Linked DNA regions of Sus scrofa. Each later gene encodes a partner of the first gene's protein in a complex. Links are inferred from orthologs where the notes say so. Each region holds a gene or a part of one and is shown on either strand. Other genes may lie near its edges.

Region 1 (5,676 bases):
TTGTACTTTCTGGGAAGATTTCAGTTTATCTTTTACCATATTGGTTGATATTTTACTTTCACTAGTTGTACTTTTTAATTTCCAAATGGTCCTCTTTGTTCTGTGGATGTTTCCTTTTTATATCTATCCTTCAGCTTTTGTTTTAGAGGCGTTACCTGTTGGGAATGCCCCTCCTGGCTCAGCAGTAATAAATCTGACTAGTATCTATGAAGTTGCAGGTTCCATCCCTGGCCTTGTTCAAGTGGGTTAAAGATCCAGCGTTCCCGTAAGCTATGGTATATAGTCGAAGACTTGGCTCGGATCCCATCTTGCTGTGGCTGTGTTGTAGGTCAGCAGCTACAGCTCTGATACCCCTAGCCTGGGAATTTCCATATGCCACACATGTGGCCCTAAAAAGACCAAAAAAAGAGTTACCCGTTGATCTCTTGAGGGTGTCAGTGATGCAGTTTGTTTTTTGTTTGTTTTTCTCTTAGAGCTTTTGCTTAGTTTTCTCCAAATTGCATTTCTTTATTATTGTTTTGGTCTTAGTGTTTCTTATGAAATATTTTCCTCAAAACTAGTTTTTAGGGTTTTTTATTTTATTTATTTTTTATTGGTTTACTTTTTTTTTGTCTTTTTACCTTTTTCTAGGGCTGCTCCCATGGCATATGGAGGTTCCCAGGCTAGGGGTCGAATCGGAGCTGTAGCCACTGGCCTACACCAGAGCCACAGCAACGCGGGATGTGAGCCGCGTCTGAGACCTACACCACAGCTCATGGCAACGCCGGATCCTTAACCCACTGAGCAAGGCCAGGGATCAAACCCGCAACCTCATGGTTCCTAGTCAGATTCGTTAACCATTGCACCACGTTGGGAACTCCAGCATTTAGGGTTTTTTAGATTGTAGTAAGAATGTTTAACATGAGATCTGTCTACGCTTTCACCAGATTAAGTGTTCAGTGCAGTACTGTTAACTCTAGGCACAGTGCTGGGCAGCAGAGCTCTGGGAGGTGGGCATCTTACATAACTGAGACTTGGTACCTATTAAATAGCAACTCCTCATTTCTTCCTACCCCCACCCCCTCCCTTGCAGCAGCCAGTCTTAGTTTGTGGGTTTGGTTACTTTCAATACGTCATATGAGTGAAATGATGCAGTATTGTTCTTCTGTGACTGGCTTGTTTGACTTAGCATAATGTATGTCCTCCAGTTTTCCCATATTACAAGATGAATAATATTCCATTTTGTGTATGTATACCATTTTCTTTATCTGTGCTTCCGTCTGTGGACATTGAGGTTGTTTTTACGTCTTGACCATTGTGGATAATGCTGCAGTGTATGAGAGAGTCCAAGTAGCTAAATACCTAGAATGGGATTGCCAGGTCATGTGGTAGTCCTGTCTTTAACTTTTTGTGGAACCTCCATCCTGTTTTCTGTGGTGGTTGCACCACTTTACATTCCTACCAACTTCCCAAGCGATCCCTTTTCTCCACATCCTTGCCAACACTTATTCTCGGTTTTTTAATAATAGGCTTTCTGAGAGGTGTGAGGTAATTAACATCTCTTGATGGTCTGGATTAGCGTTTCTCCCTTAAGATTAGTGAGGTTGAGCATCTTTTCATGTACCTGTATGCCGTCTTTGGAGAAATGTCAAGTTCTTTGCCCATTTTTTAATTGGATTATTTGGTGGGTTGAGGGATTCTTTTGTTTGCTTTTATGGTCTTGAGTTGTAGGAATTCCTTATATTTTTGGATATCAGCCCTTTATCAGATAAATGGCTTACAAATATTTTCTACCACTCTATGTGTAATTTTGTTGAGTATAGGACACCGAAATACCATTTCATAATTCTTTGAACATGGATAAGGCTTACAGATCTTGAATTTCATTGTAGGTTTATCTAACTGGCCTATTTGCTTGCAAAGAACTGGTTGATAGTGTCTTTAGGTCTTTCCTTTTAGACTCTTAGATTCCCCAGAGGAGATTCTTCCAGTCCTGCCTGAGGGTTTATATACTCCTGATTGCCAGTATGCGTTGTTCCAACCTACTCTCAATCTTGGTATTTTCAGTATGGTATCCTTGCTTTTATGTGTGGTGAACCAGTCCAGAGGCTGAACTTCTGTCTTCTGCTAAGTAGGGGAGAATTAGCATCCCATTTGGTTTTGGGGAGGATTGGTCTGGGTTATGCTTCTTTTTTTTTGTTGTTGTTGTTGTTGTTGTTGCTATTTCTTGGGCCGCTCCCGCGGCATATGGAGGTTCCCAGGCTAGGGGTCGAATTGGAGCTGCAGTCACCGGCCTACGCCAGAGCCACAGCAACGCTGGATCCGAGCTGCGTCTGCAACCTACACCACAGCTCACGGCAACGCCGGATCGTTAACCCACTGAGCAAGGGCAGGGACCGAACCCGCAACCTCATGGTTCCTAGTTGGATTTGTTAACCACTGCGCCACGACGGGAACTCCCTGGGTTATGCTTCTTAAACAGATATTCTGCCATCCTTCCTTTTTTTTTTTTTCCTTTTAGCTGTTCTTTTGTTCTCACTTCCAGGCGTAGCTGGAACCTAAACCTTTTGGGTACCCTTAGTGTACATGGAATGACTTGTGTGCTTCCCCTTGCTGCTAGGTTAGTGTTTGGCCCCAGCCAGCCTTTCAGCTTTTTTTTTTTTTTTTTTTTTTTTTTGCTGTTGGCCCCTCTCTCCCTATCTTTGTAAAAATCCCTTTACTGTTATTTTAACATAATTTTTGAAGAAGCTAGAGCTAAATGTGTTTGTTGATTCTGCTGTCTTTAACCAAAAGTCGGCTCTGCCCTTTTCGTCTGGGTGTTGGTTAAGTTGGGTGACTTGTTGCGGAGGGTGTCAGGTATGTACTGTGTCAGTGGAGGAAAGTCTTCATTTTCTTCAAGCGACCATAAGAGAGTTTAACCCTTTGCATGTTTTTGTACATGAAGGGTCAGAATCATTACTAGAAAAACCATCGTTTTTACCTTAATAAAGTTTTTCTGCTTCAACTGTTGTAGGTTCCGTTTTCCAGTTCGGTAGCAGCACTACAAATTTCAACTTCACAAACAACAATCCATCAGGAGTGTTCACATTTGGTGCAAATCCCAGCATACCTGCAGCCTCAGCCCAGCCCTCGGGCTCAGGGGGCTTTCCATTTAACCAGTCTCCAGGGGCGTTTACTGTGGGGTAAGAGAACTTTCTGTGGAAATGGAGAATTTAACAGAGTGCCTATGTGTGCATGAAGGTGTGTGTGTTTGTGTGTTGTTTTTAGCGTCATCATGGTGCCGGATAGTTGAGGTAAAATCAGGTTTGTTCTTCATCAGTTTACCACATTACAATGTGAGAGGATCATAGCCTTAACAAAACAAAACAATCTGTGTGTGTGTGTTGGTGTTGGAGGGTGTGAGGCGTAACTAAATGGGTTTGCTTTGATGATGCCCCCCCATCACTGGTCACATTAATTTTATGATTGGAGAATTTTATCTGAGCATCATGTCACATTATAAAGTTTTTATTTTTCACAGGTCAAATGGGAAAAACATATTCTCTTCTTCGGGAACTTCACTCTCTGGTCGCAAGATAAAGACTGCTGTAAGACGCAGGAAATAAAGGTCACGGTGATTGTACACCATTTTAACAACAGCTGGTGCCCTGCTTTCAGATACTGGATTGTACTATGTGCTGGGTCATCTGAAGTTAGATCTGCCTAAGGACTTCTTTAATTTTGGCATTTTCCTCCGTTTTTCTTTATAGAAGCCCCAACCTCACCTCTCCTGCCCCCCCTTTTTAAAAAATAATAGCTAAGACTGGTGACTGACTCTTCAGCAAAAATATTTTATGATCCAGCAAATTATTCGCTGATTTGGCTTAGGCTGGCCGAACCCAGGAATTGAGTCTGCTCGGAGAATGGCTTTGTATAGAACCTCTTCATCTGCACCACCACGTGCGTTGATACGCGTTTATACAACGCATTGAAATTGTAATTATATCTGAGGAATTCTGTATAGATTAGAGGATTTTGAAATGAATGATTTCTCTGATGAGTTTGTGCTGGTGTATGTGTGAAATGAGTGAGTTGGGTGTATCGTGCACTAAAATTTCTGATAGAGGAATCCTGATTAAAGAATGGTCCATGCTAAGGACTTGTTAGATCTAGTTCGTTCTCCATTTAATAATTATATGCTATTTCTATATTGTCATTCTTCCGACTATCACCTGTCTTGCCTTTTTCATTATTTTATTATGAAACTTGTGTAAATACAATTTTGTTTCTGTACTTTTTTGGCATAACATAAATCTGTGAACTTGAAATTTTAATTTTGTGTTAGAAAATTTTTTTGTTGTTTGTTTAGTCTTGTCTCAGATTTTATTATGTAAATCCCATTATTCAAAGTTGCCTAAATCCATTTGGAAATCTTTAAAAAAAAATTGGGGATTCTTAAAGTGAATTTATTGGCTTTTCTGATCCAGTTTTGTTTGGACCAAAAACCAGTATTGTACAAAGTATTAAGCATATATTTTTATATTTACTGAAATGGACTGTGGTGACTTTGGATAATAAGGAAAAGTTTAATATTAAAGCCATGTTTATTACAGTATAATTAACATGTTAAACCATGGGATAAATGCCATCAATAAAAAATTATGAAATACTTTTTGTTCTAGTGTTAACTCATAGTGAAGGTCAAGTGTTAGTAGAAGAGAACCTTTTTATAAAGGTTAACAGTGGTCAGAAGAGAGATTCCAAAGAACACGTTGACGTGATTTGGAGGGAAAGTGTCTCAAGGTACCTTGCTTTTTGTCTGGTGCTAGGAACCACACCTACTTTGCGCACAAATTGACAAACCTTTTTAAAAGTTGAAAATAAACACAAGCAACTGTTTCTGTTTGTTCTGTTTGTACTTGTATCTTCATTGACAGATGACTCGACAGTGTTTATTGATCACATTCTTGGAGAACTTGCCCAAAGCAGCCCACAAAAACTTTGGTGGTCGTTTTGTGGAGTTTCTTTTGGGTTCTTTTACCAAAAATTTTTTTGAACCAGATATCTTTTCTGTGGCCTTTGCAAGAACTCTTGGGATAGCATTTGATAATTTTATTTTTCAATTTGAATGTATTCTGTGGTGACTTTTATTTTATTGAACTTTTGGTCGAGTCTAGTCAGCAAATGCTGGTTTCAGAGTAGAGATTTTGTGTTTGTGTTTATAATTCTCACCTCATTAAATAATACACATTTGATGTGGACAAATGTGCATTATTTGGGGGCAAAAGATGATGACAAATGCTAGAAGCAAGCCGGAAACCTGTGCGGTGTTGATGCTGAGAAAATGCCTAACTGAATTGTAGCAGGTTTGTTCATTTTTACCCATCCTTTAGGCTCACAGGGATGACTCTCTACTCTGGGGAAGATTTTTTTTCTGGGAAGATTTCATTTCAGATGTGCTAGAAATACTGCATTTTATTTAGTAATTTTTTTTTCCCCACCTTTTTCGGTTGCACCTGCTTCATGTGAAAGTTCCTGGGACAGGGATCACATCTGAGTCCGAGCTGCAGCCTACACCACAGCTTCAGCAACTCTGGATCCTTAATTCACTGCGCTTGGTCAGAGATCGAACCTTCATGCCTCTGCAGAGACCAAGCTGGATGATTAACCCACTGTACCACAGCAGGAACTGCCAGTAATTTGTTTCTAAGCAGGTGA
Region 2 (5,676 bases), on another chromosome or scaffold:
CCTTCACCCGCCCGGAGCAGCGGGCACTCTGCACAGTGCGCTCCAGCGCACACACACCTGCGTGTTTTCATCACACTGTACCTCCCCTTACCTCCTGCAAAGCTTACACAGATTTTCTTTGATGTTTTATTCTACTTTACTAAAAAGTTGCTGGTTGTAACCAAACTGAGATATTAGTAGGTCTTAACCTGCCCGGTTGAAAAAACACTGTTCTACATACCACACCCAGCGCACTCTCTCTCAAGGGCTAATCTTAAACTCCTCAGATCCTCTCCTGGTCCTCGGAGGACCCGGGTCAAAGGCGCCGACGAGGCCGCTGGTCGTCCCTGCCCCGCTCTCAGGCCTCCCTTCGGCCTGGCTGGCTCCAGGCGACCATGAGCTCAGCACGTGCTAGTCTTGCTGCCTGAATCTTCCTTGTGCCTTCGGCCTGCCCGGCTCTACCAATGCTTCAGGTCACTGCCCAGAGGGCGCCTTCTCTCTGAGTCCCTAGATCAGGCGGCACCTCCACACTGCACCTTTTCCCTGTGTTTCACCCCTGCTAGACTTGCCAGGATGGACTCCCGACGCTCCTCTGCACAATCTGATTGACCAGCTTCCTCCGCCAGGCTGTGACCTCCGCAAGCGCAGTGCCTATCTGTCTTATTCACTAATCCCCCCAGGGCCTGGCACAGAGTGGGCAGCAACTCATCTTTGTGGAAGCAGGTGGGAAGGACAGCCAGCTTCCCAGGGCGGTCCCTCACCCCGTCACGCTGGTCCTTGTGCCGGGGCCGGGAGCAGTCATCAGTTTCCATGCTGTCCTTGTCCTCTGCAGCACTGCCCGATGCCAGGCTGTGGCGGGTCTGGTCGAAGAGTGCAATTACTTCTTCCTGGAGGGTCTCGCAGACGTTCAGCACCAGCTGGGAGTACTGGGGGATGTCACTCACTGCAAGCAGACAGGGAGGGGCGCGGTCACGCCGCTCACCAAGCTGTCCATCCCAGGCCGGCCGCTGGGAGTGCGGCGTGCTAGGAGGGGCCGTGCTGTCCTGTCCCGTGGGAGGGGAGGAGAGAGAGTTTTCCAGCAGACAAGAGTTCCACGATGGAAAACCCAAGCCTCACAGGCGAAATGTCTGGCTCTAAAGCGGAGGGAGCTCTGCCCGCGCCGGCTGGCAGCAGGGGCAAGGAGACCACTCGGCCCACTCCCCGCTGGCCCCCACCGGCCCCCACCTCTCATCTCCTTCATCTGCAGCACCGTGATGAACGCTGAGAACACCTTGGCCTTGGTCTTCTCCATGAGCTGCTGGTCTGCCTGCAGCACTCCCTCCAGGATCTCCGTCAAGGGTCCGAGGATTTCATCCACAGAGCCTAACTCTCTAGAAACAGCACGGAGAGGAGGGCGGGGGCACACCTCGCAGAAAGGCCACAAGGACGCCCGCGGGGCAGCGGGCCTCACAGGGGGTCCTTCAGGCCCCGTGGCGGAAAGCCAGCCCTCCTCGCGCCCAGTAAAGAGGATGAGAGGCCAGCCCACCCGGCAGAGGGCTCACCTCTTCCACTGCCGGAGGAGGATAAGGAGCAGAGTGCACATCATGGAGCCCAGGCGGAGGCAGGTCACGGAGGCGGGCACCAGGAGCTGAGGAGACAGCACATGGGGTAAGTCAGCTTCCCGCGAGCTGGCGAGGTCTGAGCTCCATCCACAGGCACCTTCGGCTTCAGGCCTTCCTGCAGCAAGCTCACAGGGGTGGGTCACAGGAAGAGGCCGGGGGCTGGCACGGCGGCAGCTGACCTCCGCCTCCCCGACCTGACCGCGGTGCGGCTGCAGACCTGTGAGCTGCTATCTGACCTCGGAGGCCTTCTCCCCGGGAGGCACGAGAAACCTCCCAGACACACTTACTAACGCTTTGGTGCCATCGAGCACGTCCAGAAAGAGCCGGCGACGCACTGCAGAGTCGGTCAGGTGCATTATCTCCGCCTGCAGAGGGCCAGGCGGAAACGTCCGTCAGACTTTGGAAGCCAGGAAAGGGGGACCCTCTGTCTGCCATTCGTCACTGTCTCCCCGATTCGAACGGGGCTCGAGGGCCCTGCTGTTTCTCTGCTGCCCTTAGACATGATCAGAACCAAGCCCAGGTTCGCCTCCTCCTCCTCCTCCTGACCATCCTCCCTCTGCTCAGACCCTCGGGGCTTCCCAGGGGAACCCTTCTGGAAAACAAACTCCCCTGTGAAGCCTGGGAGTCCCCTAGGAGCTGGTCACCCCGCTGTGCTCACCCTGCTCCAGCCCTACTGGCCGCCTCCCTCCTCTGTGAACAGGCCGAGCTCTTCCCACTTCTGGAGCCTGTGACTCCGCCTGCCTGGACCCCCTCCCCTACGGGCTCTCTGCCTAGAAGGCTCCTTGCACGTCAGGTCTCAGGGCGGACATCACCTCCCCAGAGGGGGCCTCCCGACCCCTCCTGTCCCCCTCCGGCGTCACTACCACATCACCCCGGTTCCCCTCACGGGGAACCAGCACAATCCCAACCTCTGTGTCTTGGTAAGTTTGTTGATAATTTGCTTCTCTCATGAGCCACTCTCCATGAGAGCACAGACCTCATCTGCCTGGTTCACTACAGCCACCCTGGTGCCTGGCACATGGTAAGCATCCCATTAATATCCAATGAATGAATGAACGATCAATGTCCTAGACGGAACCAGACAGGTTTCTTCGGGGAAAAGAGGACAGTAGGCTTCTTAGAGCTACAATTCAAGAAATGCTGCCCAGGTAGGGCCTAAAAAGCAGGTGACACACAAGTTATTCCCTGGCGAATCAATCATTGCCCAAAGATGGCTAAGACCTCTGGTATGTCTATAGCCTCAGGGGTCCAAAACCACTATGCCACAGCCAGCCTCCAAGGCTGTGGGCAGGCTGGCACAAGGGACAAGTCACAGAAGATGTAAGAGTGTGCCTGGAACAAAGGGCATCTATCAAGCTGAAGTTATCAATGAAATCAGGATATTAATCTGGACTCTCTAGGGAAAAACACGTTAACACCAAGTCCTTATCACACAGCATGATGCGCGTGCACATAAGTGCACACACACGCGCGCGCACGCGCGTGCACACACATACACAAAGCCAAGGCAAAATGCAAATTCCCCCTCTCTCTAGAGAGTGCTGCTGCAGCTGTTAACAACTACCTGCTGACTGGCTAACAAATATTTGCCCAGTGTCCACAGGCCCAGAGCATGAGAAGGCAATTCTCCCTGTGCACGAGAGGGAGGCGAAGGGTGGGAGCCGAGACCTACCCAGGACCGCACAGGTGGCTGCAAGAGGCTTTCATGAGTGTCTGAAGGGATTTAAAATGACTTCTCTGCACTTTCCTTAAGGGTCTCTTGTTGGACCCAATGCCCTCAAATATTCCACATTTGGCACAGAACCTGTGACATTTTAGTCTCAGAGAAAAATCCTGATTCATTCTTTATCCCAAGGGGCTCTGTCTGGCAGGCAACCCAGCACACCGTTGCTAGGCTGCCGACACGCAACCTCGCCCCAGGAGGTTCTTACGTGACTGGCGGCGATGATGAGAAACATCCTCCAGGCAGAGACCAGCATCTGATACTCCAGCAGGGAGGTGCAGCTGCTGCCCTCCGTGTCGGCCGTGTGAACCGCCAAGGACTTGACATACCCCGACCAGTAGGCAAAGCGTTTCTCGCTGGAAAACTTCTTGAGTGTATCTTTTAATGACTGGTCTAAGGAGCCCCTAGAGTGTTGAGAAAAAACACAACCTCCAGTTAGGTTTGAAAAGTAGGTGGGAATGCGACGGGCCCAGACCCTGCAGAGGCAGAGAAAGCAACCTCACATGGGCTTAAAGGCAGCCGGCTCCGGATCAGCTCACACTTCTGGCTCAACATAATGGGTTAGGCTGAGGCCTTTTCCAGGATTCCTCCTCCATAAAATCCCGAGCACATGGAGTTTGCTTCACAATAACTTTCGAACAATAAACGCCATCAATGGACTGGCCAGGGACACAGAGCAGTGGCCCTCCATAAATGGCTCCAAACCAGCTCTCTCCTCGCCGTGGCTCATACAGCCACGCACTTTCAGTGTAGACTACCACGGCCCCCCGCACACACCTTTCATGAAAACCTCCAAAGGGGAAAGGACTCACTTAACTACATAGTAAATCTCCAAGCAAATTATCTTCATGATTAGGGCGCAGGTTTCCAGGATGCTGGGCTGTGAGGGGAGAGCAGAGCAAACAGCAACGTGAGAAGCCTGTCCCTGGCGCCCCTCCCCCGAAGGGACCGGAGCAGGGACCCCACCCTTAGGAAGCAAGGAAGCACCCGCCCTATGGAATGCGAGTGGGCATCTGACTCGAAAGACCAGAAGGGTCAGGTCCACAGTGTCTCCAAATGGGTGGAGGCGACCACGGAGCCACCAACACAGAGCAGGGCGTGCTACTTTCCTTCCCGCGGCAAGACACCAGGGGACAGGAAGCAGGCCCTTCTCTGAGAAAGAAGCTGCTAGAGAAGCAAACATTCTGACTGATGAGAGAGGTGTCGCTGCCTACAGTTCAGCCTCACAGTCTGGCCTTCCAGTCCCCGGCCCTCCCGCCCCGCAGCTCACCTCGGATGTTTCGGAGGGAGGAGACAGGGTCCCGAACAGGGGGCTGGTTAAATTCTCCCAAAACTTGGGTCTGAAAAGAAAACACATGTTGGAAACCAGGCTTTCGCTCACCCAGCCCTTTGCTCCCCTCTCCGCCTCCCCTTGGTGGCCTCTTCTCCACGTTCTATCAGTCACGGCCTAACTCCTGGCGCTTGGTACCTGCTTGTACACAAACGCAAAGGGTGCCCTGGATAAAATCAGGTTCACCTCTTAAGAAACACGACTGTATGTTACAGAGTTAACCAACAAGAGCGCTCACGACTCGGAGTTCCCGTCGTGGCTCAGTGGTTAACAAATCTGACTAGGAACCGTGAGGTTGCGGGTCGGGTCCCTGGCCTCGCTCAGTGGGTTAAGGATCCGGCGTTGCCGTGAACTGTGGTGTAGGTCGCAGATGTGGCTCGGATCCATGTTGCTGTGGCTGTGGCGTAGGCCGGTGGCTACAGCTCCGATTAGACCCCTAGCCTGGGAACCTCCATATGCCATGGGAGCAGCCCAAGAAAAGGCAAAAAAACAAAACAACAAAAAAAGAGCTCTCATGACTCATACATTTCCGACAGTCCCACGGAAAAGAACAGCAGGCCCTCGCGTCTGGCCTTTTCATGTTCCTTCGCTCCGTGCAAACAGGGGCCAAGAGACCAGCGGGTTCCACTCAGTTCAACGGCTGGAGCAAAGCCACGCTCATCTCAGTCTCCTGCTTCCCAAGAGCACTGGTTTTGGGGCCTGGCAGTAGGCGGGAATGTAAAAAGGTGGGAACTCTTAGGTAAGCACATCAGAGTAAAAGTTACACCTGCTGGCGGCAGCATTAAAAAGAGAACAACTGGGAGTTCCCGTCGTGGCTCAGTGGTTAACGAATCCGACTAGGAACCTCCATATGCCACAGGAGCGGCCCAAGAAATGGCAAAAAAAAGACAAAAAAAAAAAAAAAAGAACAACTGGAGTTCCCATCATGGCTCAGCAGAAAGGAATCTGACTAGCATCCAGGAGGACATGGGTTTGATCCCTGGCCTCGCTAGGTGGGTTAAGGATCCGGCGTTGCTGTGAGCTGTGGTGTAGGTCGCAGATGT
Region 3 (6,400 bases), on another chromosome or scaffold:
TTCCCCATGGATAGTGACCGGGCGTTCCACAAGTTTAATTCAATTCTGACTTCAGATTGTGTGGGTTAAGGGCTGACCCACAGGACTGCCCCCACTTCAGATGCCAATCACAAGTCCAGGTGTTCACCTTTGCTTCTGATTGGCTATAAATCAGAGGTTCCCACAATGCTCTCCTCGGGTTTGGTAAATTTGCTAGAGCAGCTCGCAGAACTCAAGAAACCAGGTTATTTTTTTGGATTACCAATTTATCAGAAAAGGAATTAAAGAATACAATGAATAGCTAGATGAAAAGATACGTAAGGCAAGTTTCCAAATGCAGGAGCTTCTATTCCATGGAGTTTAGGGCCTGGCACATAGATGTATTCTGGTTCATCAACTTGGAAGCTTTCAACCCCATCCTTCTGGCTTTTTGGAGGCTTCATTACAGAGGCAAGACTGATTAAATTATTGGCCACTGTTAACTGAACTTAATCTCCAAAGGTTGGGGTGGTAGGGCTAAAAGTTCCAAACCTCTAATCAAGTGGTTGTTTCCCCTGGCAATCACTGCCCCCGCCCCCAACCTCAGGTTACCTAGAAACTTTCCAAAAATGACTTCATTAACATAACATAGGATAGTCATCCTCTTATCACTAAGGGAATTACAAGAGTTTCAGGTTCTCTGTGACAGGAAGAGGGACAAAGACCAAATATAATGTTCTTATTATAAATTACCATCCCAAGGGATTCAATTGTGAGGGTGGAGCCCTCACGAAAAAGGGATTGGTGCCCTATTAAAAAAAGACCCTACAGGGAGTTTCCATCATGGCTCAGTGGGTTAAGAGTCTGACTAGTACCCATGAGAGTGCAGGTTCAATCCCTGACCTTGCTCAGTGGGTTTAAGGACCCACTTTATCCCATGAGCTGTGGTGCAGGTCGCAGATGCAGCTTGGATGTGGCACTGTTGCGGCTGTGGCGTAGGCCAGCAGCTGCAGCTCCAATTGGACCGCTAACTTGGGAACTTCCATATGCCACAGGTGCAACCATAAAAAAGCAAAAACAAACCAACAACAAAAAAAATCCCCACAATTTAAGGACACGGCACAAGAGATGGCTGTCTATAAATCAGGAAGCTGACTCTCACCTGACGCTGAATCTGCTGGTCTCTTGATTTTGGACTTCCCAGGCTCCAAAACTGTGTGCAGTACGTGTTAGCTGTTTAAGCCACCCAGCATATAGTATTTTGTGAAACAAGAAGAAACAAAATGTAAGTGGTGTTTAGGAACAGTTAGAGTGTATTTGTAAAATGGAGAGGCAGGGAGAACAACAGCAAAATAAGATCAACTGGAGTTGTTTCCATTATCTAAGAATGAAATGTGGAAGACTGTTGAGGAAAAGTATGAATGTAAAGGAAAGACAAGAGAATGTTCCTGATATCTATTGCTGGCTAACAAATTACCCCAAACTTAGTGACTTTTGACTCTCTCACCAGACATCTCTCACTTTAAGTAACTTGAGAGCCCTTCCATGTGGTCTCTCCCCATGATTCCTCCAGGATGGCAACCCCAGGATAGCTGAATTTATTAGATGGCTTCCCTCCTAGTTAGCACTCCAAGAGAGAAACAGACTCTGTTAAGGCTAGTCTGGGAGTTTCTGTCCTGGTGCAGCGGAAGCAAATATGAGCAGGAACCATGTGGTTTCCGGTTAGGTCCCTGGCCTCGCTCAGTGGGTTGAGGATCTGGCGTTCCCATGAGCTGTGGTGTCGCAGAGGCGGCTCGGATCTGGTGTTGCTGTGGCGGTGGCATAGGCTGGCGGCTACAGCTCCGATTGGACCCCTTGCCTGGGAACCTGCATGTGCCGTGGGTACGGCCCTAAAAAGGACAAAAGACCCAAAAAAAAAAAAAAAATTAAAAGGCTAATCTGGCACAGAGTCACTTCTGCTGTGTTCAATGAGTTACAGCAGTTACAGAGCCCTCCCAGATTCCAGAGGAAGGGACAAAGACCCACCTCCTGATGGGAAAAAGTCAAAGAATTTGTGGTCGTCTTTAATCTGTCATGTTGATACATGAGATTTAGACTAACTTTCCCCTTGAAGACTGGCATTTTCCTCCAAATCCAGCATCTACTCTGCCCTAAATGCAGGTAAAGCACAAGACCTTCCAAACAGATCACAAATGGAAGATAAAGGAAATTTCTTTCACGTATGCAAGTGAGTAGCATTTAGGGGCTTCAAGCAGGTAACTGCATCAATGTTTAATTAAACACATTATGCTTCATTATACAAGAACACACGAATACAGTCTCTCGAAAAAACCCAACACAAAAGGCCACTCTGCCCTTCACTCCGCCCCCAACCCACGTCGCTGAAAGGTGAAGAAAAGGAGACCAGGCGGAGATTCACTGAGTAACACGGGGAAGCAAGGAGAGGCGATCAAAAGCTCGAAATCCAGTAGATGGCGCCCATCTGCGTGGCCTCCTAGGACCTCGCCCCTCCCTGGAGGCTCTGCCCAGCCGCTGCCCGCGCCGGAGTTTTTAAAATGGAAACAAACCCGGCTCCGCCCCCTTCCCTGAGGCCGCCGGGAAAATGGCACCGCCCCTTGGGGCTTCCTCGCCGGACACGCAAAGGTTCCTGCAGGTAGATCCTGCAAGCTCCCCCTGCCTCCTCTCATCTGGCTTCCTCCTTGCCCACCCTGTCTCCGGCCAGCTCGGTGGAAGCCTCACAACGGTGGGTCGGACAGGCCCTAGACCTTTCCGGGTTTCTTCACCTGTCCGCATCTGTGCTTGCTCCGCCCCCGGAAGTGACGACAGCCGCCCGGCTGGGCTGGTGTCCCGTCAGGCCTCGCGGCGGCGGCGGCGGGAAGATGGCGGCGGCGGGAGCCATGGAACGGAGCTTCGTAGAGCTCAGCGGAGCTGAGCGCGAAAGGCCAAGGCACTTTCGGGAATTCGCAGTTTGCGACATTGGTACGGAAGCATCCAGTAGGGCTCGATGCAGCTCCTGCCCTCGGGATCTTCCCGTGGATCCCTAAATCTCTGTCCTCCAGTTCATCCTCCTGAGCCCACATGCCTCCAGCCCCGGATTCAGAGCTTCATTAGTGTTCTACTTCTTTCTCTTTTTTTCCCCTTTTTGCATGGATTTTCAGTCTGTCACCCTCTGCTTTCTCAGCGCCCTCAGTCCGTGTCATCCCCTGAGAACCACGTGTGCAAGGGTGACCACTCTTCTTTTGCAGGAACTGCAAATGCAGTGGCCGGAGCTGTGAAATACAGTGAGAGCGCGGGAGGCTTCTACTACGTGGAAAGTGGCAAGTTGTTCTCCGTCACCAGAAACAGGTTCATTCATTGGTAAGTGCTGTGTTTGTCAAATCTCCCGAAAGGGCGTTTTGTTCGGCGGCTGAATTTTCGTGACTGTTCCCAAGGTGTCGTTTATTCTCCGAAGTGGTTATAGACAGGAAAAGAGAAAGACTGTTTCCTATTGATATCTGAGTCAGTGGAAAATTAAGCAGGCACAGAGTTCTGGAAGAGGTGCCCTCCCTGGCAGCACTAAAAAGAAGAAATGTAGCTTCGAGGGTAAAGCCCCAAAGATCAGTTCTAAGCATGAAGCCGTTATATTTTTATAGTGCTTTAAGCTTCCTTCATTCTACAAATTAGTCTTGAGTTTTTACATGTCAAGCACTGCTAGGTGTTCTAGGAGTGCAGGGATGAACAAAAACAGTCTCCATTTTCATCCTGCAAGATATAGTAGTGTAAGAATAGATGTGGACACATCTTTCATGGGGCAGTTTTGAGAAGGAAAAAGACATTAAGCTGGAGTTCCCTTGTGGTGCGACAGGTTAAGGATCTGGCATTGTCACTGCAACAGCCCAAGTTGCTGCTGTGACACAGATTCTTTCCCTGGCCGGGGATCTTCTACATGCCTCAGGTGTGACCCCCAAAACGCCATTAAGCTAATGACCCCACATAAGTATGTAAATGAAGTTTTTCATACTTCCCTCAGAGGAAAAGTATGAGAAGCTAATGGGAAAATCAGATGTAATTGGCGTGTCTGGGAAGGCCTGAAGTAAGTCACATTTCATCTGAAGGAGGAAAGGTTAGCTAGGCATGGAGTTGGGAGAGAGAGCAGTTTAGCAAGTGGGATCACCAAATGGAGAGTCCACAAGGTGGAAAGAACTTGACAAATTTGAAGAACTGACTGAAGCTCTGTGCGGCATAAGTGCATTGGGCAAAATGGAAAGTGATATGAGTGATGCTGAGACTAGGGAGGTAAGCAGGACTCCGATCAAGAAGAACCCTCAGGTCCTTTTCAGGGATTTGGGATTTTTATCCTAAGTACATTGAGCAGTCATTGGAGAGTCTTAAAGTGTTACTAACATGGTCAAAGTCACACTTTAAAATAATCAGTCTACTTTGTGGAAAGTAGACTTGGATTGGATGGGTACAGTATGAAAGAAGAATTTGCTTTCATGGTGAACCAAGTAAGATATGCTGGTTGTGGGATTGGCTAGGGAAAGAGAATTAGATGGACTCAAGATACACGTGGAGTTCCTGACAGGCCCCCGGGTTCCCATGTGGCTTAGCAGGTTAAGTATCCAGCAGTTGTCACTGCTGTGGTGTGGGTTCATTCCCTGGCTCGGGAACATCCACATGCCTTGGGCGCAGCCAAAAGAAAAAAAAAAAGATACACTTAGAAAGTAGCTTCAGGAGTTCCCGTCGTGGTGCAGTGGTTAACGAATCCGACTAGGAACCATGAGGTTGAGGGTTCGGTCCCTGCCCTTGCTCAGTGGGTTAACGATCCAGCGTTGCCGTGAGCTGTGGTGTAGGTTGCAGACGCGGCTCGGATCCTGCGTTGCTGTGGCTCTGGTGTATGCCGGGGACTACAGCTCCGATTCGACCCCTAGCCTGGGAACCTCCATATGCCGCGGGAGCGGCCCAAAGAAATAGCAAAAAGACAAAAAAAAAAAAAAAAAAAAAGAAAGTAGCTTCATTAGGACCTGGTAGTGGACTGAATATGGGGTACAGAATGGTGAGGGAAAAAGGGAGCAAGGACAACTCCCTGGTTTCCCATATGACTAACCAGATACTGACATATGGAATATGGGTTTGGGAGAGATGTAAATAATTCTTTTAGGAGTTCCCGTCGTGGCACAGTGGTTAACGAATCCGACTAGGAACCATGAGGTTGCGGGTTCGGTCCCTGCCCTTGCTCAGTGGGTTAACGATCCGGCGTTGCCGTGAGCTGTGGTGTAGGTTACAGACGCGGCTCGGATCCCACGTTGCTGTGGCTCTGGCGTAGGCCGGTGGCTACAGCTCCAATTGCACCCCTAGCCTGGGAACCTCCATATGCAGTGGGAGCGGCCCAAGAAATAACAAAAAGACCAAAAAAAAAATAATAATAATAATTCTTTTAGACATACTATTGAAGTATCTGTGTAGTAGCTGTTTGACAATGTCCAGAAATCATTGAAATTTTCAGGCTTAGAAGAAAGACCTGTGTTAGAGATACAAAGCTCATTTACTTAAGAAATATTTTCGAGTGCCTGGTATGTTCCAGTCAATGTTTAGGACTGGGGACATAGCAGGAAACAAAGCAGACAGTTCCTCCTCTGGTGGAGGGGCAGGCAATCAACAACAAAAACCAAAAAACCCAATATAAGAGTTACCATCATGGCACAGCAGAAACAAATCCGACTAGGAACCATGAGGTTGTGGGTTTGATCCCTGGCCTCATTCAGTGGCTTAAGGATCCGGACGTTGCCATGAGCTGTGGTGTAAGTCTCAGATGCAGCTCGGATCCCATGTGGCTGTGGTGTAGGCCAGTGACTACAGCTCTGGTTAGACCCCAAACTGCCCTAAAAAAGACGAAAAGAAAAAAAAACCCAATATAGTTTGTCAGGGGATAAGTCGAATAGAGAACAGGGAAGCAAGGGAAGAAAAAGGGAATTATTATGTTTAGTGTTTCATGTAGGGTATTCAGGCAAGAGCCAGTGATAAGTTGACATTTGAGCAGAGAAAGTAAGAATATCTGCAGGATGAGAATTTTAGGTAGAACTTTCCAAGAAAAAGGTACAAAAAGTGCAAAAATTCTGAGACAGGAGCTTATGTGTTGTTTTCAGAGAATGGTAAGGAGCTATAAGACTGCAGCTGAGTGAATAAATGTTAGAGGAATAAGGCTGCCAAGGGCCGGATTAGGGCTTTGTCAGCTATTTTAAGGTTTTTGACTTTTACTCTGAGTGAGGTCGGAGGTTTTTAAATACAGAAATGGCATGGTATAAGCTGTAATTTTTTTCTTTTTCTTTTTATAGCCACACCAACATCATAGGGAAGTTCTTAGGCTAGGGGTCAGATCAGAGCTGAAACCACCAGCATATGCCACAGCCACATCCATCCACAGCCACTGGATCTGAACCACAGCTTGTGACAATGCCGGATC
Region 4 (5,676 bases), on another chromosome or scaffold:
TGAAGGGACTTGGCCAAAGCTCTCCTTTCCAAACACTGGCTGGGCTGCAGGAGCAGGTGCTGCTGGGTCTTTGGAGTCAGTTCCTATAGTTCCTGGTGGGGTGGGCTGGCGGGGGGGGGGGGTGAGGGTCAGAAGGCAGTGTGGTTGTGACCCATTCTGTCCCCCTTGGTGCAGTCAGCCATGAGCCCGGTGACCCTCCCTGCATGCGGAGGCTGAACTTTGTGAGGCTGCTCATGCTCTACACCCGCAAGTTTGAGTCCACGGACCCGAGGGAGGCCCTCCAGTACTTTTACTTCCTCAGGTTAGACTGGCTTTTGAACATTTACTTCAGCTGGTTTTGATTTCTGCCATTGTGGGAATGACAGAGTCCTTGAGGCCACACCTGAAACCAGGTTGTTTGTGTCCATTCCAGGGATGAGAAGGATAGTCAAGGAGAAAATATGTTTCTGCGCTGTGTGAGCGAGCTGGTGGTAGAAAGTCGAGAGGTATGTCTATTTCGTTTTCCACCCTCTGATTTCCAGTATACATGTTCTCAAGCTAATGTGATACCTGATGAGGTCTGAGTTTGGTGGATGTGGCCAGGAGGGCTTTGGAGTTTTCTTTGCTTTCTGACTGTGAAAATATTGATTCAGTCTCATTGTTCTTGTCTCCAAAGAATTGTGGATTATGTGTATATCCTCATTCAGTAAATTGAGTAAACTTTTTTTGTCTCTGCAGTTTGATATGATTCTTGGGAAACTAGAGAATGATGGAAGTAGAAAGGTGAGTAAAATGCACCGCTAGAGATGTGTGAATTTACAATTGGGGGTTTATAATTGTCAAAGGAATATAGTTAGATTTTGGAAGTCAAGGTACTGAAGATGCAAATTGGAATGAAGTTGCCTCTTTTTAAAAACAAAGAATGAAAATTACGGGCCCCAAACGATGGCCTTGATTTTGCGCACATTGATGTTTCTCCTTAAAATGTGTAAATTTGTGATTCGAGAGCGTTTTAAATTACGTTCAGAATACTGAATCTGTTCATGCCTGCCATTTTTTACCTGAGAAGGCTACGTTCTGCCATTCTTAATTTAGAATATATGCAAGAAAGGAATAGATTATGGCACTTACTCTCCCCAGATGGGAAAGTTAGAAATCCACTTGACCTGTCTCAAAAGGTAGTTTCCGAGGACTCAGAACCCTACACTACCCCAGAGATGCAGCTGCTGCTGTGGGCCTTAGATTCCCTGAGACCCATCATGCCTATTGGGCAATGTAGCAGAAGGGGCAGAGGCCCTGGTGTCACAGACCAGTCCTGACCCCACTCAGTCATGCTCCTTGTGGGGTCACCTGCCTCTCTCTTGTCACTGCTGTGGCTCACATTTGATTCCTGGCCCAGGAACTTATGCATGCCAAAGGTGTGACTTACAGCCAGCAATTGCAAGATGAGCTCACACCACGTACACTGTCCAGTGTAGAAGACCAGTTGGCAGTGCTGGTGACAGTGGCCATGCTTATTGAGTAGTGACAGCTGCCTGTGTTGAATGCTTAACATGAATTATCTCACCTAATTGCCACAGTAACCTAAGACAGTGGGAACCCTTATCTTTTTTCCAAGGGAGGAAGTAGAGACAAGAGAGGTTAATTATATACTCAAGGTCGTATAGCTAGTAAGAAAGGGAGCTGGAATTTGAACCCAGTCCTTTTTAACCCCAGAACCTCTTCACTGATCTCTCGAGCTGCCATCGTCGGGGGAGCAGGTCACCCTGATTGGTCCAGCTCAGATGGAGAATCAGACGGCCAATCAGACGTCACGCTATCTCCCCTCTCTCTGTGGTTCCTAAGGCCTCTCCCATAGTCTCTTGACCATTTGGTTGCAGCTGAGTGATTTTTTTTTTTTTTAAATATCCTGACACCACTTGCCATATGTTTTTTCAGGACTGGGTTTCTTTTGCCATCTGTCTTAGCAAATTCAAAATCTTTCAGATATTTTCTCTAAGCCTCCTAATTTTTTCCCCCTACTCATCAGCAAAGTTGAAATCACTGATAATTTCTCCTACTCTGGATCATTTTTTAGAAAATCAGAAAACCCAGAGTCTTATTGCTGACTCCTCTGTACCGCCTGTGAGTCTGCCTCTTCGTGTATAGTTTCTTTGGTCCTTTTCATATTTTCAAGAAAGCCAGAGTCTAGCTGATGAAATACATGCATTGCCCAGGGCAAGCATTTTCAGTTAAAGAAGTTTTCGGATCCCAGTTGCTTCTCTGTGTTTAAAATAACAGTTCTATTCCCCCGTTTCTCTCTTCCTCTCCTCCATAATTTGTTTTGTCAGCCTGGAGTCATAGATAAGTTTACTAGTGACACAAAGCCTATTATCAACAAAGTTGCTTCTGTGGCAGAAAACAAAGGACTGTTTGAAGAAGCAGCAAAGCTTTATGACCTTGCCAAGGTAAAATGTGCCCTTTCCTTCTTCTGCACTTTATAGATCTGTCAGCCTTTGGGCATTAAATGCACAAACATTTCGGAGGTGCTGTTGTTGTACCCCTCTCCCTGCTAAGGCATTTTCTCCTAGTGCTCAGGCAGTTCATGGTCCAGTCAAGGCGAAATTCCCATTTTACAGAATTGTTTCTGCCCATAAGGTATTTCTGGCCAAACAAAAGCAACATATTGAGAGGACATCCTGAAGGCCTTGAGCTGTCGTCTCACTGGCAGCAGAGTAAGCATCCATCATGTTTGGGTAGTGAAGCTACCGGTGCAGATGCCCGGTGCTCCCCCTCTGGGCAGCCGCAGACGGGCTGGTGATGGGGGTGTGCTAGGGAACAAAACAGCAGCCCAGGAGTTCTGAGAGAGCTGGAGTAAGCAGTGCTTCCTCAGAACATGCATGAACACTGATGACTCTGTGGCTTCAAGATTGCATTCTCTCCTTTTACCAACTGAGAAAAGTGGGCAAAAAGAGAGTTGTAATTCATTTTTTAAATTTAAAAATGTTTTGATTGTGGTCTGATTAAAAGGTATAAAAATGTAGTAATAGGGAGTTCCCGTCGTGGCGCAGTGGTTAGCGAATCCGACTGGGAACCATGAGGTTGCGGGTTCGGTCCCTGCCCTTGCTCAGTGGGTTAACGATCCGGCATTGCCATGAGCAGTGGTGTAGGTTGCAGACGCGGCTCGGATCCTGCGTTGCGGTGGCTCTGGCCTAGGCCGGTGGCTACAGCTCCGATTCAACCCCTAGCCTGGGAACCTCCATATGCCTCGGGAGCGGCCCAAAGAAATAGCAAAAAGACAAAAAGACCAAAAAAAAAATATATATATATATAGTTATAATCCAGTGTACCTCTTGATGGCCTTCCCAGAGGTATATATCCATGTCATCACCATCCAGTCAAGAAACAACAGAAATTCCCGCTTTTGCTTTGGTTATTTAGTTTTTTCCCTCTTACTGATTATTTTTTAATTGATTCCTCCCTTAATTTACCAAAATCGAACAGAATGCTGACAAGGTGCTGGAGCTGATGAACAAACTGCTCAGCCCTGTCGTCCCCCAGATCAGTGCGCCACAGTCCAACAAGGAGAGGCTGAAGAACATGGCGCTCTCCATCGCAGAACGGTAAGAGCCGGCTCCCAGGGGCCCTGGGGCTCCCAGCACCCACCCAGCTGCATCTTCGGCTTTACTGTAACGTCTAAGTTCCCCAGAGTGGCTCTACTGCCTCGTCACTGCACCAGCAATGAGTTCCTGATCCCCTACATCATAACCAACACTTGGTCCTGTCACTTGGTAAACATTTTTGCCAAGAAGAAGGGTATGAAAGCATTTTAATCCTACCTAATTCTAGGCATTGTACCCATCTGCATACCATTAGCAGCCATCCCAAAGGCATTTTGGAATGGAGCTAGTGATGGATGGATGGGGGAATTCTTAGAGGTGTAGTGGCCAGTGTTTCAGGATCTACTTTTATCCCCATGACTTAGCGGAGTTATCCTACTTCAACTGGTGTAACTCCCAGGCTGTGGTGACAGGCCTCACTTTCTGTGCCCTCTACAGATATACCTAGTGAAGTTGACCCAGAGAAAACTGGGTTGGAGCTGCTCACTGAAAGGGAGGCCGAATATTTATAGGTGGATTTCTATCAAGTCCACCATTAAATGCTTGACCATTTCAAAGGAAACACTATTTTCTACACCCTCGTTCATCTCATCTAGAGAGGTTTTGACATTAATCACATGCTATCCTCAAGTTATAGATTGCACCGAAATTCCTCATCTACTCATACTTCCCTTCCCTCTTTTTGTGCTTCAGGTATAGGGCTCAGGGAATCAGTGCAAATAAATTTGTGGACTCCACGTTCTATCTTCTGTTGGACTTGATCACCTTTTTTGACGAGTATCACAGTGGGCATATTGACAGAGCCTTTGATGTAAGTTTCAGGAGGGGTGTTTGAAGTGCAAGTTAATGTATGCCCTTGAAAAATGAGAATGTTTCATGGGACTCATTTAAAACAAAGGAAATGTCACTGATAGGCCTGTTAAGTGAAGAAGGACAAGTATGATCCTGGGAATTTTAAAAGGATTTCTGTGTTGCTCTTTTTTTTTTCTTTTTCTTTTTTCTATTCCTTTCTTCTTTAGTCTAAAAGCAGAATGGTTTCTCGGAGTAATTTGAAATCTCTCAATTGTGAAACTACCTCAGAAAACAAGGATAGGAATTGAGTCAGTCAGCAAGTAAGAATCAAAGCCTTTGTACTAGGGGGTAGCATTTGCTATTAAGAAGCCCGTTATGAACATGTTAGATGCTGACTATGTGTTTAAGGAAATGAAATGACTCTGATGGTTGTATCTTATGGGGATGCTGGGGTTTGTTTTAAACAGATAATTGATCGCTTGAAGCTAGTGCCTCTGAATCAGGAAAGTGTGGAAGAAAGAGTGGCTGCCTTCAGAAATTTCAGTGATGAGGTGAGTCCTTTTCTTCCTGAAATAAAAAATTCCTTTTTCCCCACTTCCACTGAAAGCTTTTGTTTTAATGTAGCCAGTCACTTTAAGAGTCCTACTGCAGTCACCGTCCACACTCAGATGAGTCCAATTCCAGGCTTCCTGGGCTGGTTTTTCTGCAAGTAAACGTATCCCCATTAGATTATTGTCTCAGAAAAGATACTTGCCTTAGTGATCAAACATGTTCTTGGGAGAAATAGGTTTTTTTGTTGATCCTTTGAGATCTGGTTTAATTCTTTATTATCCACTTGTCCTAGAGGTTATGTCAGTGATCTTATCTGAGTAGTTCCATTGGGCATAGAAACGTGCGTCATGATACACTTGCTTCCTTCCCTTCTCTGAGCTGTTTTGTCTCAAGAAGCAGGTGCAGTGACCATGGACTCACTTAGCCCCAGAGCCACCACCATCTCTGTAGGGTCTATCACATGTGTCGATGCCTAGCCCAGGGTGCTCGTCTGGGCTGCACACTGGAATTGCTAGACCTTTAAAAAAATCTTCATGCACAAGCCCAAAAATTCTGGTTTCCCTGATCTGGACTGCAGCCCAGACCTCTGCTGGGTATTCCCATGTGAACCTGGGGTAAGACTCTTCTCTAGAATCACAGGCAGCAGGGCCAGCTGCCTAGTTCAGGGATGTTGCTGACAGTGTTTCAACTTAAAACAGTTACTCTATAGGCACATGCCTTTCGTTTCTCTGCTAGAGGAAGAAGGAAGGCAGCT
Region 5 (6,420 bases), on another chromosome or scaffold:
TATTTCCTGCCAGTTTCTGCTCAATATTCTTCTCACTCTCATGCCAGTCTTTGGGGAAAATCCCTCTGCCTTTTCATTCTTTCTTCCTCTTTGCTCTTTTTTGTTTGTTTGTTTAGGGCTGCACCTTTGGCATATGGAGGTTCCCAGGCTAGGGGTTGAATCCGAACTGCAGCTGCTGTCCTACACCACAGCCACAGCAATGCCAGATCTGAGCCACATCTGTGACCTACACCACAACTCACAGCAACACCAAATCCTTAACCCAGTGAGGGAGACCAGGGATCAAACCCAAATCCTCATGGATACTAGTCAGATTCTTAGACTGCTGAGCCACAATGGGAACTTCCCTCTTCACTCTTTAAAACCGCTTTCATTGTAATCTGGCATTTGTCTCTATATAACAACCACTTTCAAAAAATCACCAGTGACTTTTGTGTTTTACCTAAGGTACATTGTGTCACTTAATATTATTTGTTCAAAAGAATGACTATATGTATGCTTCCTTTTTTTTTTTTTTTTTTTTGTCTTTTGAGGGCCGCACTGGCGGCATATGGCGGTTCCCAGGCTGGGGTCTAATCGGAGCTGTTGCTGCCGGCCTACACCACAGCCATAGCAACACCAAGATCCAAGCCGCCTCTGCAACCTACATCACAGCTAACGGCAACACTGGATTCTTAACCCACTGAGCGAGGCCAGGGATTGAACCCACAACCTCATGGTTCCTAGTCGGATTCGTTGCTGCTGCGCCACGATGGGAACTCCTGCTCTTAACAACATACTTTGTGATTCTGTCTAAATTATTTAACTCCAATTTCTAACAGTGAAATGGGAACATAAACTATTTTCTCCCAATCTCAGTGGAATATCGGAAGAGTTGATAAAATGAGGTTGTAAGGTACATGGAACATCTCTGATAGGATTGTAGGATTGTTTCAGGGATTGAATGAGATAATATAATAACAACATCAACATTATAAGATAATGTAAAATTCTTAATAAATATCTGGCATATGGTAGCACATAGTAATGACTATATTTTAGTTTAAAAATAGCGAACGAGGAGATCCCATTGCTCTACAGTGGAAATGAATCCGACTAGTATCCATGAAGATGTGGGTTCTAGCCCTGGCCTTGATAAGTGGGTGGGGGATCCAGTGTTGTGGTGAGCTGTGGTATAGGTTGCAGACACGACTGCGTTGCTGTGGCTGTGGTGTAGGCCGGCAGTGGTAGCCCAAATTTGACCCCTAGCCTGGGAACTTCCATATGCCATTGGTGTGGCCCTAAAAAGAAAAGAAAAGAAAAGAAATTAGCAAACTAAAATTTAGCAAGTAAAAAAAAGAGGGCCAATTATTTAGGGGTGCTCAGGTGAACAAATATTTGGTGTTTATGAAATGATTTGTCTGGAAATTGCTTCCAAGTAATTTCTCATGTTGGAGGTGGGATAGAGGAATTGACCAGCTAGTGAAGCTGGACATTCATTATCCTTTTTTTTTTTCCCTGGACATTCATTATTCTAACTTTGCATACATTTGAAAATTTTTTTCTTTTTTCTTTTTTTGTCTTTTCTAGGGCCACAGGTGTGGCATATAGAGCTTCCCAGTCTAGAGGTCAAATAGGAGCTACAGCTGCCTGCCACAGCCACACCACAGCAGTGTGGGATCCAAGCCTCATCTGCGACCTACCACAGCTCACGGGCAACAGCGGATCCTTAACCTGCTGAACGAGGCCAGGGATTGAACCTGCAACCTCATGGTTCCTAGTCAGATTCATTAACCGCTGAGCCATGACCGGAACTCCCTACACTTGAAATTTTAATAATAAAAGGTTATGATTGTTTCACTGTATGTAACTATGTTGATGCAAATCACTTGGTATATACATATACACGAAATGCAATGAAAATCTAGTTTGTAACAAATTAAATGGCTTTTTGAAGTTTATCTATCTTTCACCCCACTCCACTCTCCAAAGTAAAGGAGTAATGCAACGATTTAATTTGACATATAGACAATGATTGGAATTTATGGCTTTCATAATATCATAAGTGGGCATCATTTCAGAAACTAATCTTTTTCTGTACCACCTAACCAACTTTAGTCCTTATAAGAAAAAAAAAACTACACTCCCCAGCATGCATTGCACGACATCGTCAACACGAGGACCTCGCGTCGCCGAACTGGTTGCCCTCGCCTTATTTGAATGGGAATAATCCTGGCGAAAATTGACGTCTGTGGCTCAGAGTAGATTTTCGAGTATTTGTAAGACAAGCTCGGTAGAGCGTGCGGTAGGAAGGAGACAGCGTGGTACCTTTATGTTCAGGCATCGCCCCAGGCAGCCTCGCCCTTTTCTGGGGCTTCCGTGCGGCAGGAGGGCTCCGTTAGTGCGCTTCCAACATGGCGACGCTGTTGGCGGTAAATTCAGGTAGGTGCGGCCGGGGCAGAAGGCAAATTGTGGGGCAAGGTGCTGATCGGTTCTTAAGGGAGAGACCCGGGCTGTGGGGTTCCTCGGAGTCCAGTCCCCCATTTGTGCACAGTGCCCGCTTCTCTCCAGCCGGGAGCCTAGATTCCCGCTCCTCCCCAGTTTGAATGGCGCGCGTCGGCTCTGCGGGTGTTAAGAATTGGGCTTTGAGGGTCGAGGCGAGGAAGCTCGGTCCACCGGAACCCGGCGTGGAATTCTCGCAGTTCAAGGCCAAGCCTGTTCTCTTCCATTACTCACCCCATTATGTGTCCGTGATCCAGGTTTCATATGTAGTTTTCCAGCAATGAGGTCAGGGGACCTGAGATATTTTTTTCAGCCCATGCCGAAACTCGTACTTTGTATTAGGCACCTGGATCGCTCATGGAGGTTGGGGGGTTATGCAGGAAGCGAGGTTCCTTGGTTATGAAGCCTGAAATTTTGAAGGTGGCCGAGGACTACCATGACTCCCAGCTCTGCAGTTGTGGCCTGTCCCTGGATGCTTCTGTACCTTTGGAACAGTAGATCCTCGGGACAGGGCAGAATCTAGAAGGTTGTAAAGAAACTCTGGAAGATTTGGATTGGGCAGTTCTCAATCTGGGGCGGAACTCCCCCTCCCTGCGGGGGGGCATTTAAAAGAGTGGGTGCATTTTGATTGTCCCGGTTCCTGGGGTGCTCTGCTGGCGCCTAGTGGGCGGGTCTAGGTTGCCAGACATGCTGCAGCGGCGGGAGCGTTCCTGAAAATCAATTTCCTGCTCTGAATGTCACTGTCTTGTTTGAGCCATGCTAAGCTTTATGGGCAGTTAAGAGCACATCGGTGAGGTAAATCCTTGTAAAGAATCTCACTCAAAGAGAGCTCTTTCTTAGGGCGCCTTTTCTTTCTGTCTCTACGCAGTTGGTTTTTTTGTTTTTTGGTTTTTTTTTGTTGTTGTTTTTTGTTTTTGTTTTTGTCTTTTTAGGGCCGCACCTGTGGCTTAGGGACGTTTCTAGGCTATGGGTCGAATAGGGTCTAAGGCTGCCGGCCAGTGCCGCAGCCACAGCGACCCTGCGTGATTGGAGCTTTGTCTGAGACCTACACCGCAGTTCAAGGAACACTGGATCCTTTAACTCACTGACAGGCCAGGGATGGAACCCACGTCCTCATGAATGCTAGTCGGATTGGTTACCAGCTGAGCCGGGATGGGAACTCCCTATGCTGTTGTTTTGTGTGTGTGTGTGTGCTGGTTTGTTTTCACACGACTGATACTCTTGAAAACGTGTCTAAATCTGACTTTTGCAAATCAAACCATTTCAGAAACACTATGATAAATTATTTTGTAATAATGAAGGATTATGTTTATTGAGCACCTCCTTTTCCCCAGGCACCATGCTAGGAGCTATCTTTTATCTCATTTAATCCCCTTTATCCACCTATGGAGTAGCTACTATTAAATACTCCATTTTACAGATTTGGAAATAGAGTGGTTAAGTAACTTCTTCAGGGTTATACAGTTAATGATTCAAAGTCAGTCTTTGATGATACTTAAACGTGTTCCTACTGAAGCACAAGCTAATTCATTTCATTACATAAAATTTCCATATACCTGAATTTAGTAATGAAGTTACTTCCTTAATCTTGCTGTCTTGCCCTCCTAACCCAGATGTAAACTTAAAACAAAGTTTTCATGTTATACGTGTGGTTATATACTTTTCTTTAGTACATGCTCATCCTAAATTAGTATCATTAAACATAAATCATTGAAGGAAAAGGAGTTGCCAGCAATTTCAAAGCATATATACATTGTATAGTGAGGCCTCCTGGCAGTGGTATTTAATTGGTCACATAGAAAGGAAACTTTTTGAGGGATTGAACTCTGGCCACAGTAGCCAGCTGAGCTGCTGAGGTGACAGCACTGGATCCTTAACCTCCTGAGCCACAAAGGAGCTCCCAGGAAGCATTTTTAAAAGCCCAGGCAGGAGTTTTTTTTTTTTTTTTTTTTAGGGCAGCATCTGCACCATATGGAGGTTCCCAGGCTAGGGGTTGAATCAGAGCTACAGCTGCCACTCTACACCACAGCCACAGCAATGTGGGATACAAGCTGGTCTGTCTGTTCCCAGGCTAGGGGTCTAATCGGAGCTGCAGCTGCTGGCCTACACCACAGCCACAACAATGCCAGATCAGAGCCTCGTCTGCGACTTACACCACGGCTCACGGCAATGCTGGATCGTTAACCCACTGAGCAAGGCCAGGGATTGAACCCGCAACCTCATGGTTCCTAGTTGGATTTGTTAACCACTGAGCCACGACGGGAACTCCCAGGACGATATTTTTAAAAAATTAAATGTCCAGGCAAGGAACCCAAATGCCGGTTGACAAATGAATGGATAGACAATGTGGTCTGTAGATACAATGGAGTGTTATTCAGCCTTAAAAAGGAAACCCTGTCCTATGCTGCAGCATGAATGAATCTTGAAGACATTCTGCTAAGTGAAATAAACCAGTAGCAAAAAGACAAATACTGGATGATTCTACTTAGATGGGATATTGAAACATATTGAAAGTAGCCACATTTTATAGAAACAAAGAATACTGGAAAAGAGGTTTGTCTACCACCTCCCTTCACATTTCACCCTAATCATCACTTGCTCAGTGACTCCTTCCCTTCCCTGACCTCCCTGGCTAGGCCAGTTTCCTATATTATAAAAAAATATATGTATATAAATGTATATATGTAAATATTTTTTGAACCTATACCATAGCTGTGACCTGAGCCAGCGAAATGATGATGCTAGGTCCTCAACCTACTGCCCCACTAGGGAGCTCTTTGTATGTGTATATATATATTTTTGTTTGCTTGTTTTTTAGGGCTGCACCCAGGCTAGGGGTCAGATTGAAGCTGCAGCTGCTGGCTTATGCCACAGCCACAGCAGTGCCAGATCTGAACCACATCTGTGACCTATGCGAAAGCCGGATCTTTAACCCACTGAACGAGGCCAGGGATCAAACCTGCATCCTCATGGATACTAGTCAGATTTTTAACCAACTGAGCCACAGTGGGAGCGCCTTTGTGCATAGTTTTGATGTGTTATTGGATGCCTCTTCATAAATGGGAAGAAGTGGAATTGTCTCTAGAAATCACTAAGCTTTGTCAAGCTAAGTATGTAAACTCCAAAGAAAGCTATTCTTGGAAGTTCCCTTGTAGCACAGTGGGCTGAGGATCCAGCTTTGCTGCAGCTGCAGCACAGGTTGCATCTGTAACATGGATTCAGTCCCTGGCCCAGGAACTTCCACATGCTGTGAGTGTAGCCAAGAAAAAAAAAAGTTATTCTTCAAAGGTTCTATAAAGTATTACTTTTACAGTTTACTTTTGTCAGCCTTTTGTCAGATTTAAAAAATACCCGTGGTAAAGCAAGTTTCACAGTTGCAAGAGTCATTTTTGATAACTTTCCTTCATACCCTGTACCACTTAACAGTTTGGACTCTACCAACAGGTCTTGCCTTTCTATTTTCCTGTCCTCATCCTGGTTAAGGTTCCATCACTTTATGAGTAGCTTACCTACCTATCAGTTTTGGGTCCTGGCACTTCATATTCTGTTTAGTCCATCAGTCACACCATCATCCAGTTTCATTTTGTCATCTACTGCTTGAAGCTTTCCCATTTACTAATAGAAAAAATTCCATCTTGGCCAGAAATCCAAGGCTCAAACTGCTCAGCAATCAAAATAGTGGCAGTAAGTGATTTTTGTAGTACTTTTTTTTTGTCTTTTATTGTAGGGCCACATCTGTGGCATATGGAGGTTCCCGGGCTAGGGGTCGAATCCGAACTGTAGCTGCCAGCCTATACCACAGCCACAGCCACAGCAACACAGGATCCGAGCCGAGTCTGCCACCTACACCACAGCTCGCGGCAAATGACAGATCCTTTAACCCACTGAGCGAGGCCAGGGATCAAACCTGTGTCCTCATGGATGCTGGTCAGATTCTTT

Evidence for each region.
Region 2: NUP153 (region 1) and NUP188 share a complex: the UniProt entries of both Homo sapiens proteins name them as parts of the nuclear pore complex. The link is inferred for Sus scrofa from reciprocal best matches to the Homo sapiens genes NUP153 and NUP188.
Region 3: NUP153 (region 1) and NUP160 share a complex: the UniProt entries of both Homo sapiens proteins name them as parts of the nuclear pore complex. The link is inferred for Sus scrofa from reciprocal best matches to the Homo sapiens genes NUP153 and NUP160.
Region 4: NUP153 (region 1) and NUP93 share a complex: the UniProt entries of both Homo sapiens proteins name them as parts of the nuclear pore complex. The link is inferred for Sus scrofa from reciprocal best matches to the Homo sapiens genes NUP153 and NUP93.
Region 5: NUP153 (region 1) and NUP205 share a complex: the UniProt entries of both Homo sapiens proteins name them as parts of the nuclear pore complex. The link is inferred for Sus scrofa from reciprocal best matches to the Homo sapiens genes NUP153 and NUP205.

Annotation. Positions count from the first base shown.
Region 1 is NC_010449.5:13,392,722-13,398,397, reverse strand, and holds the end of NUP153 (nuclear pore complex protein Nup153), read left to right. Parts: intron 1-2,992; coding exon 2,993-3,161; intron 3,162-3,499; coding exon 3,500-3,584; 3' UTR 3,585-4,856; downstream 4,857-5,676. UniProt on the Homo sapiens protein: Component of the nuclear pore complex (NPC), a complex required for the trafficking across the nuclear envelope. Functions as a scaffolding element in the nuclear phase of the NPC essential for normal nucleocytoplasmic transport of proteins and mRNAs.
Region 2 is NC_010443.5:269,303,057-269,308,732, reverse strand, and holds part of NUP188 (nucleoporin NUP188 homolog), read right to left. Parts: intron 4,644-5,676; coding exon 4,574-4,643; intron 4,184-4,573; coding exon 4,116-4,183; intron 3,708-4,115; coding exon 3,512-3,707; intron 1,946-3,511; coding exon 1,868-1,945; intron 1,607-1,867; coding exon 1,521-1,606; intron 1,350-1,520; coding exon 1,204-1,349; intron 923-1,203; coding exon 741-922; intron 1-740. UniProt on the Homo sapiens protein: Component of the nuclear pore complex (NPC), a complex required for the trafficking across the nuclear envelope. Required for proper protein transport into the nucleus.
Region 3 is NC_010444.4:14,837,877-14,844,276, forward strand, and holds the start of NUP160 (nuclear pore complex protein Nup160), read left to right. Parts: upstream 1-2,179; coding exon 2,180-2,185; intron 2,186-2,615; coding exon 2,616-2,937; intron 2,938-3,203; coding exon 3,204-3,315; intron 3,316-6,400. UniProt on the Homo sapiens protein: Functions as a component of the nuclear pore complex (NPC). Involved in poly(A)+ RNA transport.
Region 4 is NC_010448.4:18,818,746-18,824,421, forward strand, and holds part of NUP93 (nuclear pore complex protein Nup93), read left to right. Parts: intron 1-174; coding exon 175-301; intron 302-412; coding exon 413-485; intron 486-717; coding exon 718-762; intron 763-2,309; coding exon 2,310-2,426; intron 2,427-3,462; coding exon 3,463-3,581; intron 3,582-4,271; coding exon 4,272-4,389; intron 4,390-4,837; coding exon 4,838-4,921; intron 4,922-5,676. UniProt on the Homo sapiens protein: Plays a role in the nuclear pore complex (NPC) assembly and/or maintenance. May anchor nucleoporins, but not NUP153 and TPR, to the NPC. During renal development, regulates podocyte migration and proliferation through SMAD4 signaling.
Region 5 is NC_010460.4:13,773,505-13,779,924, reverse strand, and holds the start of NUP205 (nuclear pore complex protein Nup205), read left to right. Parts: upstream 1-2,151; 5' UTR 2,152-2,393; coding exon 2,394-2,421; intron 2,422-6,420. UniProt on the Homo sapiens protein: Plays a role in the nuclear pore complex (NPC) assembly and/or maintenance. May anchor NUP62 and other nucleoporins, but not NUP153 and TPR, to the NPC.